2 linked regions of the Neodiprion lecontei genome follow. Each later gene encodes a partner of the first gene's protein in a complex. Links are inferred from orthologs where the notes say so. Each region holds a gene or a part of one and is shown in the gene's direction. Other genes may lie near its edges.

Region 1 (8,260 bases):
AAATTCGACCACTAGCTGAATGCTCTAACAGCTGTAGCCAAAGAGGTCAGACGCTATCTATAAAAAGAACTTCATTTGGTGCAAGACAGTATGGAAACACACAGCCACTTTCCAGAGTGTTTATTTTGTTCCTTGTGATCGCTAATTCCTATTTCCAATTTGTCGGTCAGACATTAAAACTGTTTGCATAAATTTATTTAATTTATTCACTAACTTAAGTGTGTATAAATAATGGTAACACAATGATGATTTACTCTGAATTAAACGAATAGGGAGAGAAAAGATTTTCCTTAAATAAGATATGGAAATTGTTATTTATTTTTCAATACAATGAATATTAACATGCAATCACTTAATCAATAATCAATGTAGAATTGACGACTTTTTTCTTTTTTCTTTGTAACACGGACAACAGAAGTTTAGCAGGCAAAGATAACACTTTGTAAACCCATGTATATAACAAGTATGAGGATGTATTGATCTGTTTGTAAACACGAAAAGTAAATCTTGAGGTTACATTTTTAATAACATTCATGATAAGATGTAGTTTTAACTGGGATCAAAAAGCACGAAAAAAAGTGTAAATTTTAGATAAGTACCGAAATAATGATGCGTCATTGAAATTATTCTAGAAAATTCCATCACAATTTAATGCAGTACCTATATCACTACTAACTGCGTATCGGCAGGTGAATGACACATCGTTCAAATGATTCATTCACCTTGAAAGGATTCAACGAAAAAAAAGTAAAAATTATAGTAACATCGGCATTGTACCTTTACTGCAGATTGTTCGAAAAATATTTGAAATAGTGGTGCAGTCTATATGGGTATAAAACACTTTTAATTTACTGGAATTCAGAAACAAACACCAATTACAAGTTAAAAATGGTTAATTACGTCCGGAACAGCTGTGATACTGTTTACAACTTTGAAGCTTGCTACGAGTGCTGCGGGCTCGTGTGACTGCTGTGAAGTGCAGCGAAGGCGACTGGAGTCTGATGGAGAAAAGTGAAGTTGGCCAATATTTATTGACAGCACCAGCCTGCAGCAGCCGACAAGCAGACGACACCCACCTGCGCAACTCCTTTGTCTTTCACTCGTGGCAACTCGTTGATTTTCATTTTTATATTCTCCCAAAATGGGTACGAGAACGTCTGGCAGCTTGGACCGTTGTAGTTTTCCTTGAATTTATTTTTCCTCTTCCTTGGGAAGTCGACCCTCAATCTCCATAAAGTCTGTTCCTATATAATACGAGATCCTCTAATATAGATCCTCGAGTTAAACGTGGTCAAGACATTAACACGTGGGCCTCAGTAAACAGTAAACGTAAAGTTGCTGCGTACATTTTACGTGTGATGTGGCGTGGCGCAACTTTTACATGCTGCAAAATTGGAATTCTTCATTCCAGAAAAATGATACTGGGTAAATCTCAGAATCGATCACTATTCTTTTATATGTAATTATATTTTTGTCAACAAAGTCACATTTTTCATATCTTAGGACAATTTCCACGGAAGTTGAGGGCAGTTAGAGTATTGCTCTCGAAAGATTGTTATGCACCAATTCAATGTCCTGAGCCGTGCGAAAATACTTGTTTAATGGACGAATTGCCAGTTCCCTGTGGATCGTGGCAACAGAAGTTTGATACGAAGATGAGGCAGTCTAATAGAGCTTTAATGATCGGAGGAGGATTTTTCATATTCACTATAATAGCTGTACGAATGTCAATGCATCCCTGAAATCTCAACCTAAATTATGCCTTTTAATCATAAAAGTGTCACTCTAATTTCTATTTTCACAGATGCACAAATTCGGATACGTTCGAGGATACAATGTTCCGCTATTTTACTGACAAAGTATTGAGAAACGATTGGAACAAGAATTGTTTCTGTAGCACTCCAATAAATAAATCTCTTGAATTAGTCGATGTTCATTACGTTATTTGTTTTCAATCGTATTCTTTACATCTTGCAGGGATAAAATGCGATATCTAATCTATAAACAATGTTAACGTCATGTCCCCCAAGTTTTTTAAATTCTAGGATTCTCTGTCCAGGTCCGCTCGGTAAGACAGAGCGCTGTCTAAATGCGGAGCGAAAAAATATATGTTTAGTTCCTAGCGTGTTGGTCACAGGTGGCGGCATCAGAGGCACAAATCGAAAATTTAACTATAACCGGGATTATCGCCATATTGCCCTTAGAGTCTAGGGCCGCGCGCCCGTAGCACCAAAAGTAATTTGTGAAAATGTTAAGATACGGGTACGCGATCAAGAATTTATCAAAAATTACAAGAAAACCATGCCTGAGCTACGAGCAGATTCCTTTAAAATATATCGGTGAGTATAAAACGAAAAAATTATTTGATTGTCAAGTTAAAGTCTATCGAATAACTTCCGAAAACCTCATGCGGCACCGTGATGTTTTTCTAGACTATTCGAAGATTTTAACACGTACATTTAGTAGTCGATGATAAGCGAGTCCTAAAGTTGTACAAATAATCAGAAAGAAAATACGAATATTTTTAACTGTCCTCCTTTCGTTCAGAAAACTAAGTATCGTGTCAGATTTTTCACTGATTTCCCTACACCTTGAACCACCCTGCGGCGATTATTTGACTTCAGTTAACCTACAATTCAAATATAATTTTCAGTAGATTTCGTGAGTAAGACATCATTTTAGTTTCTAATTTTTTTTTGCACATAAAAAATTTCAGGTATTATAAATGCCAGTCGAAACTACAGCGATGCCGGTGATAAGAAGCCGGGTAATCCTAACAGACCACCTGGCACTACATTGAAAGCGGAAGAATGCATTCCTTCAAATCAGTCGAAATCGAAGGGATCATTTTCCTCAGATCCTGTTTGTCCAATCGATCCGAATGTTGAATGCCCTTTGAGTCCCAACCGGGATTGTGGTAAAAGGCCAGAACCATTCGAGGAGGATGGCAACCGCAAGAAGCAGCAACGGGTATGGATGCAATTGCTGGCTGCTCTCTTCATCACTGGAGCCACCATGTACATGGTAACTATATTGAGAAAGAAACTTTTCACTTTAGGGAAGTAAAGTTGCAATATTTATTTGAAGAAATTACAATTCTTAATGCTTTTGCAGGTGAATCGAATGGGCTGGTTGCAAACATCTGAAACGCTTCAAATACCGAAACAAAGTAAGACTAGAGTTGTGATAACTAATATTGCACATAATATATCAAAATGAGCCAGTTTATTATCACTCAGTAAAATATGATTAGGCCTTAATGAAATGAATAAGTTTACTGAACTAGAAGGTAGAGATAAAAGTGTAGTACTTATCTGCCACTCAAATTTTATTATTGGTCTACGGAGTAGTTACTACAATTTATATTTCTTTCTCCCAGAGAAGAAGAAAAAAGCAGAGAGAAAGAAAGTTAAGATTCCAGCTGTCTCTTCAGAAATAGTAACAGAAATTCCTTACCTCTTGATCGGGGGAGGAACAGCTGCTTTCTCAGCATTCAGGTCTATAAAATCAAGAGATCCCACAGCAAAGGTAGTTGATTCTACAGATTCTCATAAGAATTGGATTATTTCACACTATTCATTACTTTAGGTTCTGGTTGTAACGGAAGAAGGGGACCTCCCCTACATGAGGCCCCCGTTGTCCAAAGAGCTTTGGTATAACAAAGACAGAGAGACTACAGAGAAATTAAAATTCAAACAATGGAACGGGTCAGACCGAAGGTAGTCACAATATTATGATCCGGTGGATAATCTGAGCTTTAATGCAGTTTTTACCATGCAATTGAATAACTCACTCGTTTTCTCCCCAGCTTGTTCTATGAGCCTCCAGAATTTTACACTCCTGTTCCAGAATTAGCACAATCACATAAAGGAGGTATCGGCGTAGCTTTAGGATGGAAAGTTAGTCAAATTGACGTCGTTAATAGGACGGCAGTACTTGAAGATGGTCACAAAATAAAATATGAAAAATGTTTATTAGCCACTGGTGTGTTTACCTTTCGAAACAAATAATGCTATATACTAAGTATTCTATCGTGATATTTAATTCAATGAAAAATGAATTCTATAGGTGCCTCGCCCAAGAACCTTCCAATATTTGAAACTGCGGATGATGCAGTTAAAAGTAAGATCGTACCATTCAGAACAATAGAAGACTTCCTCAAGCTAGAGGAGAGCATTCGTGATTCAGCAGTACAGAATATAGTTATTGTTGGTGGAGGATTCCTTGGTTCCGAAGTTGCGTGTTCTTTGGTCAGAAACTGTAAGTGTTACTCTGCACCTTCGTTGCACAACTCGGTTATCAACCATTTTTTAGTTGATTGGTGCTACAGATTATCTAATGAAAGGAAAAAAATTCAAATGGACTCAAATGTGTGTGAATAATCCTGGCAGGTATCGTGAAAATGCTCTGGTGACTGAGTTTTGAATTTTGCAGTAAATCCAGACCAAAAAACGGTTCATCAGATCTTTAAAGAAAAATACATAATGGCTCAAGTGCTGCCTGAATACTTGAGTGAATGGACTACGACCAAAGCAATGCTCGAAGGAGTGAGATGTATGCCTGAAACTGAGGTTGCAGATGTCGAAATGAAGGGTGGGCACTTGAAACTAATTTTAACAGATGGTTCCAAAGTGAGTAAATCCTTAATTTACAAAATGAAGGGCATAATGACTAAAGATTTATATTTTTGTAACTGGGAATTTCTGTGTTTGTAATTAACAGATTGACGCAGATCAAGTAATCGTAGCAGTTGGTGCGCAAGCGAATACTCAATTAGCTCAATCTTCTAATCTTGAAATTGACACAAAAGTTGGTGGTTATCTTGTTAATGCTGAATTAGAAGCAAGGAGCGATTTATGGGTCGCAGGGGATGCAGCTTGTTTCTATGACGTGAGATTGGGCAGAAGGCGAGTTGAGCATCACGATCACGCTGTTATATCTGGAAGATTAGCAGGCGAAAATATGACTGGCGCTGGTAGTTTAAGTTTTCTTTGTCCATAGATTTGATGCTTAATAACAGCAGAAATAGCGTTTACTGCAACTTATACCAATCAAATAGCAGTACTCATCGATTAACTTGTAGAGCATGAATCTATAAACTTGCGTCCTGTTTCAGGTAAACCCTACTTGCATCAGTCCATGTTCTGGTCAGATCTTGGACCTGAAATTGGTTACGAAGCAATAGGGATCGTTGACGCATCCTTACCAACAGTAGGGGTCTTTGCTAAGGCAACGGATCAAGACACCCCACTTGCTGCTGTCACTGCATCCAACGAGGGTTTGAGATCAGTTAGTGAAGAGGTGAAAATATGCAGTTTGGTTTATCTTTGGTTTATCTCGAAATATCATACATCATGTTGCATTATGATTGTAAGCAATTTTTACTGTTCTTAGTTTAATTGTATATTCTTCCCGCAGCACAATTCACAGGGTAACAAATCGGCAGCAATTATACAAGCAACACCGGTATCCCAGAAGCACGCACCTGTAGAAGGGTTGAAGTCAGCAGAGTCTATAAAGAATGTCAAAAGTGACAAAAAAGACAGTAAATCATGTGAAGACGAGGGAGGAAATAAAGTAGAGAAGCCCCGTGACGACTTTGGAAAGGGAGTTATATTCTATATACGCGATGACGTCGTAGTCGGCATTGTCTTGTGGAACATATTCAATCGCATGTCCATTGCTCGACAGGTAGGCTACTACTTTCATGGATTTCTATGCTCATTTTCCAGTGGGCATGATATATTTGGGATCTGATAAAACGAATAATTAACTCTCCAGGTTTTGGCTAGTGGAACAAGGTACGACGATCTGAACGAGGTAGCTAAACTGTTTAGCATTCACGAAGACTGATGGCACTGAAGTTGCATTTACCATCGAATCACTGTTTGTAAATATTCGTGTTACTTGCTATCTAGTTCTTGTATGTATTTTACACCCTGTACTAAGGTACGATCTCTAATGATTTGACAGATAAACTTTAGGAAACATAAAATATTGTAGATATCATTTCTCTTAGAATCAGGAAGTTAGTGTTTTATCCGAAACCCGGGTAATTGTCACATTTTCTCGCAATCGTACAAAGTCTATGTGCATTTATATTACAATAAATATATAAATATCGAACGCTAAATTATGCACATTGTTAGAAAATAAAGGACATCATTGATGGTGAATACGGATGATAGTTTTTATTCACCGTTAAGTAAATATTCTGGTTTTAATTGTTTAGTGACTCTCATCACCTGCAAAAACTATGCAGTAGTAACAGTAATCAACATACATTTTATTGTAATTTCCTGCGTACACTGTGCTTAATTAAATGATTGTCATATTAAAGTATTGTGCTTATTGCAGTACTTGTTATTACTTCTGGAAGAAGTTCGGTCTTGGTAATTAGATAGGAAATCATGTAACTAACGCTGCCTCTTGGTATGTAAGCAGGGGCAAAGTCATATTGCGATACCGTTTCGATAAAAGATCCATCAATTGTAAATGATTTCCAGATCGATAGTCAGTTAAATCCTGTAACATTGAAATCATATGTACGATAAAATTACTGTGATTTTTGAAAACTCTCGCTGCTTTAAGCTACGAGAATAATTTTACGCACCATATGTTCTGGCCACATTTTTCCAGCCGTTACATCTTCTAAAAGTTGGTTTTGACTGTAGTGTAACAACGATGTACAGTAATACAACGGATAGTCAGCTGGATACAAAATACAAATGGTTAGCAAATGTATGATTTCGCACCATGGTAGTATCCTCCAGAAACATTGAGATATGATTTCATCACAAATAATCCACCAGTCTGTACCGCAGTTGTTCTGTGAAATTTGACAGACACATATTATTTTTAAGAAAAATTCCGGGTCTGAGTTTTGAAAAATCCACTATGTTAAGACAAAAACCTTTAAAGCGTATTTGATGCTAGGCAATTCATTTGCAACGATATTTTCCAGGAGATGTGAGAATGTGGTTTGAAAGTTTACAGGTAAATTCTGTTCACGACTCACAGCTTTCCCTAGCATAGGCCAAATGTACATAATCGATGGGAATTGAACTATTTGCGTGATGAAAGTTTTACACCTTGAAAAGTATACAACTCATTAGGAAAGTGATGTAAAATTGGTTTTGATTTTTACATTAACTTTGGCAGGTCAGTGATGATCCATTAAAACTGAGCCACGTAACTTTCAAGCTACTGCAATGACGGTGAAGTTTTCAATCTGAGACCTGCCTATGATGAAATATGGTTTGCTAGAGTCACTTTTTATGGAAAGTACAAGGTCTTTAACAAATTGCGGCAATTAGTTACAGAACTTTACTTCTGAAAAGCGTGATTCGCGGCCACCTGAGGCAACAAAATTAAAAATTGCGTATGCTCACCTGTCCATATCTCCATTACAAATAATAAAAACACTTGCAATGAACCAGTCGAATCCTTCAAAATTTTTTTTCCACCCGTAATACTTAATGAATCCGTGAACCTCTTTCAAGAAAATTTTCAAGTTTGTTTTCGCAAGTGACGTAACTTTCATAAGCCGATTTTGTTCTGCGTACAGCAAAGTTAATTCAATGCCGTAAACTTCTTGGGGCATCAGTGTGTCGTGATCATTATGCACTGGCCACTCGAAATGGTTTGTCAATTCTAATTCAGGAACTGCCTTTTGCATTTGATCAAGTAGATTAATCACGACGGAATGCTAAACATATTTGAAAAAATTTAACATCAGATCTGAAAAAGAGAAACTCTTATCTGCTGAAATTTGATGCTTACTTGTATTGGTTCTTTACTAGAAATCTTATGAGCTTTCCTCGCTTGTGACACCCATCCATTATCTCTGAGTCCAGGCTTATTTTCTTGGAGAAATCTTCCTAATTCTGAATGTAAGGGTATGGTGGGGCAAAGTTTTTCCACATCAAATTTCACAGGAGGCGGTAATTTAGAAAACAATTCTGTCTGCTCTAGCACTGCTGTATCACCAATGAATTTACTTATAATGCAATAGGATTTCAAAAGTACTTTGTGGCGAAGGAAACCTGCCTCATCAATTGCATATATTATTTTAAGTTCGCCATCGCTTTCTATCTCGATGATACACGTTTCTTGAAGATTGAGGAGTAGTTCCTTTACAAACAACAAAAGTTCACATTGATTTGTTGCATAAATCAAGCTGTAGATACTTTGAATTCTTTTATAATTCGTACCTGATAATTCAGTACGTGCTTCAAAAAAATATTTGCATCCAAGCTAT
Region 2 (3,336 bases), on another chromosome or scaffold:
CCCTCCGATTTCACCCGGGCATGCAGGCGGACGCGGAGGCTGGCCGGCGTCGCCCCTCGAGACCGCTTTGTGGATCTGCTCATAATTTATTGGGAGCTGCCTGCCAGACCAAACCGTAACAACGCTGCGCTACGTTGCGTCGCGTTACGTCGCGTCGCGTTGCGCTGCGTCACCGAGCCGGCCCAACCTTCCTACCAGCTTCCTACCTACCTACCTACCGACCAAGTCGAGGGATTGTTCTGCAAACTTGTTCACCGATAAGCGCCGAGATATATGGACCTCGTTATGTCGCTCCGTCCGTTCTATTACTTACACTCATCCTTTCGCGGACCCTCAATCAGAGCGGCTTAAACTTACTATGCTTCAGCCCGCCCCGCCGTGTATACCACACACGTTATACATACCTATATAATCATACGCACCGTGCTAGTGTGTTAGTTACCACGTATCGTACGCGTACGTGCAATCGGTTCATTCTTGCGATGACCGTGTACGATCCTGCAGCAGAGATAACCATTGGAAATTCAGTCGCTAAAGGGTATTCTTGCTATAAGGAGTCTCCCAAATATAACGATATCGCATAGATAGGGTACCCGAAGTAGGCGTTATGCATGTACGGATGGATGACATGGTTTGCATCGATTTATTTCAGGCTGACGATGACGCACACGCTCCTTGCTTCTTGCGAGCAATTTCACTCGCGTATCTGGAATACAGTACCTATTCTCTACCGTTAAAATCTAATATTTCCATTTCCATCGAGCCTGATCCGGCAGATTATGAAGTGAAATTCGTAGGTCGCTTTGCGCCTGTACGACCACGCGACGCAACCGGGCATACACGAGATCGTTTCAATCTCTGCCGGGTTGAAACGGCATCTGTGGGGGGCAAGTTGAACCACGCGGCGTAGTTATGCAACACCGAAGTTCTAGAATTCCAGCCTGCAGGCCATACCGGCGTGGCGAATGGTCGACGGTGATACGGGTGCGTCCGTAACTATTGCTAACTTCTCGTTCTGCCGTTTATTATCAAGGAATAGTAAATTTCCCTCGAAATCGTTGTACGATTTACGCTGCCGTCAATGTGAGTGAATTGTGGCCAACGATTATTACTGTGTATCATGCGTTACTTAGACGTCTCTTTGTTAGTATGCCATTGATTTCTCGCACGTTATCGTAGTACTAACCTAACCCGGATCGGGATCTAACCTTGAATTAAGGAAAAAAAAAAATAAAGAAAGACACGGAATGCAGCTCCTCGGTCGCGAGGAGAAACTCCGTTCACCTCACTAGGGATCGTAAACATTTTAACATCTATTTTTTTTATTCTCTTCGTTTACAGAGAACTTCCCAACGACTCGAACCGTGAGATAAGTGCGGTATTTTTGAAGAAGCATGTTATGCAGGCTGTGAAAAAATTATTCGGAGCTGTTGGGGCCAAGTCGCAAGTAGATATACTCAAGTACAACGTCAGCGACCGCAGATTCGTCCTTCGCTGTCAATCCGACAGCTACGTTAGACTGAGAGCCGCTTTAACGTTGGCCAGTGACTACGAAGGGGAGCCTTGCGTTTATACCGTTCATAAAGCGTCTGCGAATCTTCTATCTCTAGCTGCCGATAGCAGGACTTTTGTTCATTAAGTAAATTTGGTAGTATTGTTCAGTTTTTTCAAGTCATAGATTTAAGGTTAAATCAATCGTCGTTTAGTCATGTCGATTGTTAGAAAAGAGGGTAAGGACACAATAATATTTGCCTCCAAAGAGGATCACGCCTCTCCCAGTAAAGTGAATCTTCCCGAACCCGAGCCAAGTCCCGGTTTGATACTGGCCAACGGAGAAATAAACTGGAACTGTCCGTGCCTCGGTGGAATGGCGACTGGCCCTTGTGGTCTTGAATTCAGAGAGGCGTTCTCTTGCTTTCACTACTCCGCCGCAGAGCCAAAGGGCTCGGATTGCTACGACGCTTTCAAAACCATGCAGACTTGCATGTCCGAGTATCCTGCGCTGTACGGAAACAAGGAAGCCGACCTCGACGATCTTGGTCAGGCTGAGAGTCAGGCGGTAGTTAGCAAAGACTCTGAAGATCCGATAAAGGACAGTAGAGAAAGCAAGAGCGATGAGAATGGGATCGAAGCGAGCAGTGGTAGTAAAAACGAGATGCAACACTCGGTAGGGTCCAAATGAGAGATGTATTTACATATTATTGACAACGTTAGATATTGTTACTTTATGTACTGCCAATTTAGTAATTCCTTCGTTAAACAATCGGCTGTTGGTCGATATATCTTCGAGGCATGTGGATCAAACAGTTGTACAAAATTTCATCTTGCCGTCGATAGATATCGAAGCTTAACCAATAGATTAGAATATCGGCAATGTTTTGTATCCCTGGTGTAGAAAGCGGTAGAATATTATCGTAGAGGAACAGTAAACTCTTTTCACTTACTACCAGTTGTAATCGTTCGAAAGCATATGGTGTGCCGAATTTCAATAGTTGTATCTATCATTCTTACGTGCATTTTTGTAACACGCACAGTTGTCTGTTGCGTGAAATTGCGATCATTTCTTTTCTTCTATGGTACTGCTATGTCACGAATAAACGAAAAATGGAGCGCTGCATCTGTTACATTTCCCAACGAACGCTGCTATTCATGTGTAATTGTGTGATTCCTGTTTATGCATATACGAGTAAACCGTGAGAGTAACATTTTGTTTCAAATGTAGAATAAACGAAGAGCAGGGGGGCCGATTCGTTACAACGCTCCAAGTCCCGTTAACGCCGTTTGAATTTGGCGCCGGATTCGGTTAGGTAGAAAGTAGTTGACGGTTCTGCCGTCGTTGGCGTTGACGCAGCGTGTGGCGGCCATGTGACGTCAAATTATCCCCCTAACAAGTTTACCGAGCACGTCGGAATCAACGAAGTTCCCCGTCCCGTATTTTCCTACCAGGATCGTTGGTTAGTGAGGGCCGAAACAGTGACGTGGTTAAAGCGTGTTATTTATACCGCATCGGTGTGATTACCTGAGCACGTTGAGTAGGATACGCGTGTGCATTCCTTGGCAGTGTCTAAGAGTGTCGGGTATTCTACGTGGGCGCTCAGTTTTTTGGCATGCGCCAGGTCGATGAAATGGAGTCTAACAATAAGCGAACCAAGCCGAAGGAAAAGCGACGGTGAGTCCTTGCACAAGTTTCTGTTCAATCAATGCCCGCTTTTTCGACGAGTCGATCTTTTTCCATCTCACGATTCTTCGCACCTGCGACACATGATGCAACGATGCGAACACCGTGTGCGTGGAGGAGCAAGCACACACCTCACTCTCCATCCATCCATCCATCTC

Evidence for each region.
Region 2: the proteins of apoptosis-inducing factor 1, mitochondrial (region 1) and mitochondrial intermembrane space import and assembly protein 40-B are in contact, whole or in part, in a cryo-EM structure (PDB 9GQZ), measured with the Homo sapiens proteins. The link is inferred for Neodiprion lecontei from reciprocal best matches to the Homo sapiens genes AIFM1 and CHCHD4. Residues at the interface, in NP_004199.1 of Homo sapiens: Pro345, Tyr347, Ser500, Ser501, Leu502, Pro503, Thr504, Val505, Gly506, Val507, Phe508, Ala509, Lys510, Glu558, Asp559, Tyr560, Asn602, Ala605, Lys606, Phe608, Asn609, Ile610, His611; in NP_001091972.1 of Homo sapiens: Arg5, Glu7, Lys9, Asp10, Arg11, Ile12, Ile13, Phe14, Val15, Thr16, Lys17, His20, Thr22, Pro23.

Annotation. Positions count from the first base shown.
Region 1 is NC_060265.1:5,860,589-5,868,848, forward strand, and holds the start of apoptosis-inducing factor 1, mitochondrial, read left to right. Parts: upstream 1-2,175; 5' UTR 2,176-2,248; coding exon 2,249-2,339; intron 2,340-2,716; coding exon 2,717-3,024; intron 3,025-3,114; coding exon 3,115-3,169; intron 3,170-3,379; coding exon 3,380-3,528; intron 3,529-3,588; coding exon 3,589-3,719; intron 3,720-3,808; coding exon 3,809-3,984; intron 3,985-4,068; coding exon 4,069-4,260; intron 4,261-4,434; coding exon 4,435-4,631; intron 4,632-4,722; coding exon 4,723-4,975; intron 4,976-5,116; coding exon 5,117-5,301; intron 5,302-5,418; coding exon 5,419-5,691; intron 5,692-5,781; coding exon 5,782-5,853; 3' UTR 5,854-6,408; coding exon of another isoform or gene 6,409-6,525; 3' UTR 6,526-6,613; coding exon of another isoform or gene 6,614-6,829; 3' UTR 6,830-6,913; coding exon of another isoform or gene 6,914-7,091; 3' UTR 7,092-7,391; coding exon of another isoform or gene 7,392-7,708; 3' UTR 7,709-7,782; coding exon of another isoform or gene 7,783-8,133; 3' UTR 8,134-8,213; coding exon of another isoform or gene 8,214-8,260. Other genes in the region: uncharacterized protein LOC107221093, read left to right, coding at 1,142-1,145, 1,273-1,425, 1,504-1,718, 1,805-1,855; protein broad-minded-like, read right to left, coding at 6,409-6,525, 6,614-6,829, 6,914-7,091, 7,392-7,708, 7,783-8,133, 8,214-8,260. UniProt on the Homo sapiens protein: Functions both as NADH oxidoreductase and as regulator of apoptosis.
Region 2 is NC_060266.1:760,269-763,604, forward strand, and holds mitochondrial intermembrane space import and assembly protein 40-B, read left to right. Parts: upstream 1-1,708; coding exon 1,709-2,182; 3' UTR 2,183-2,638; downstream 2,639-3,336. Other genes in the region: ribonuclease P protein subunit p14, read left to right, coding at 1,121-1,143, 1,342-1,639.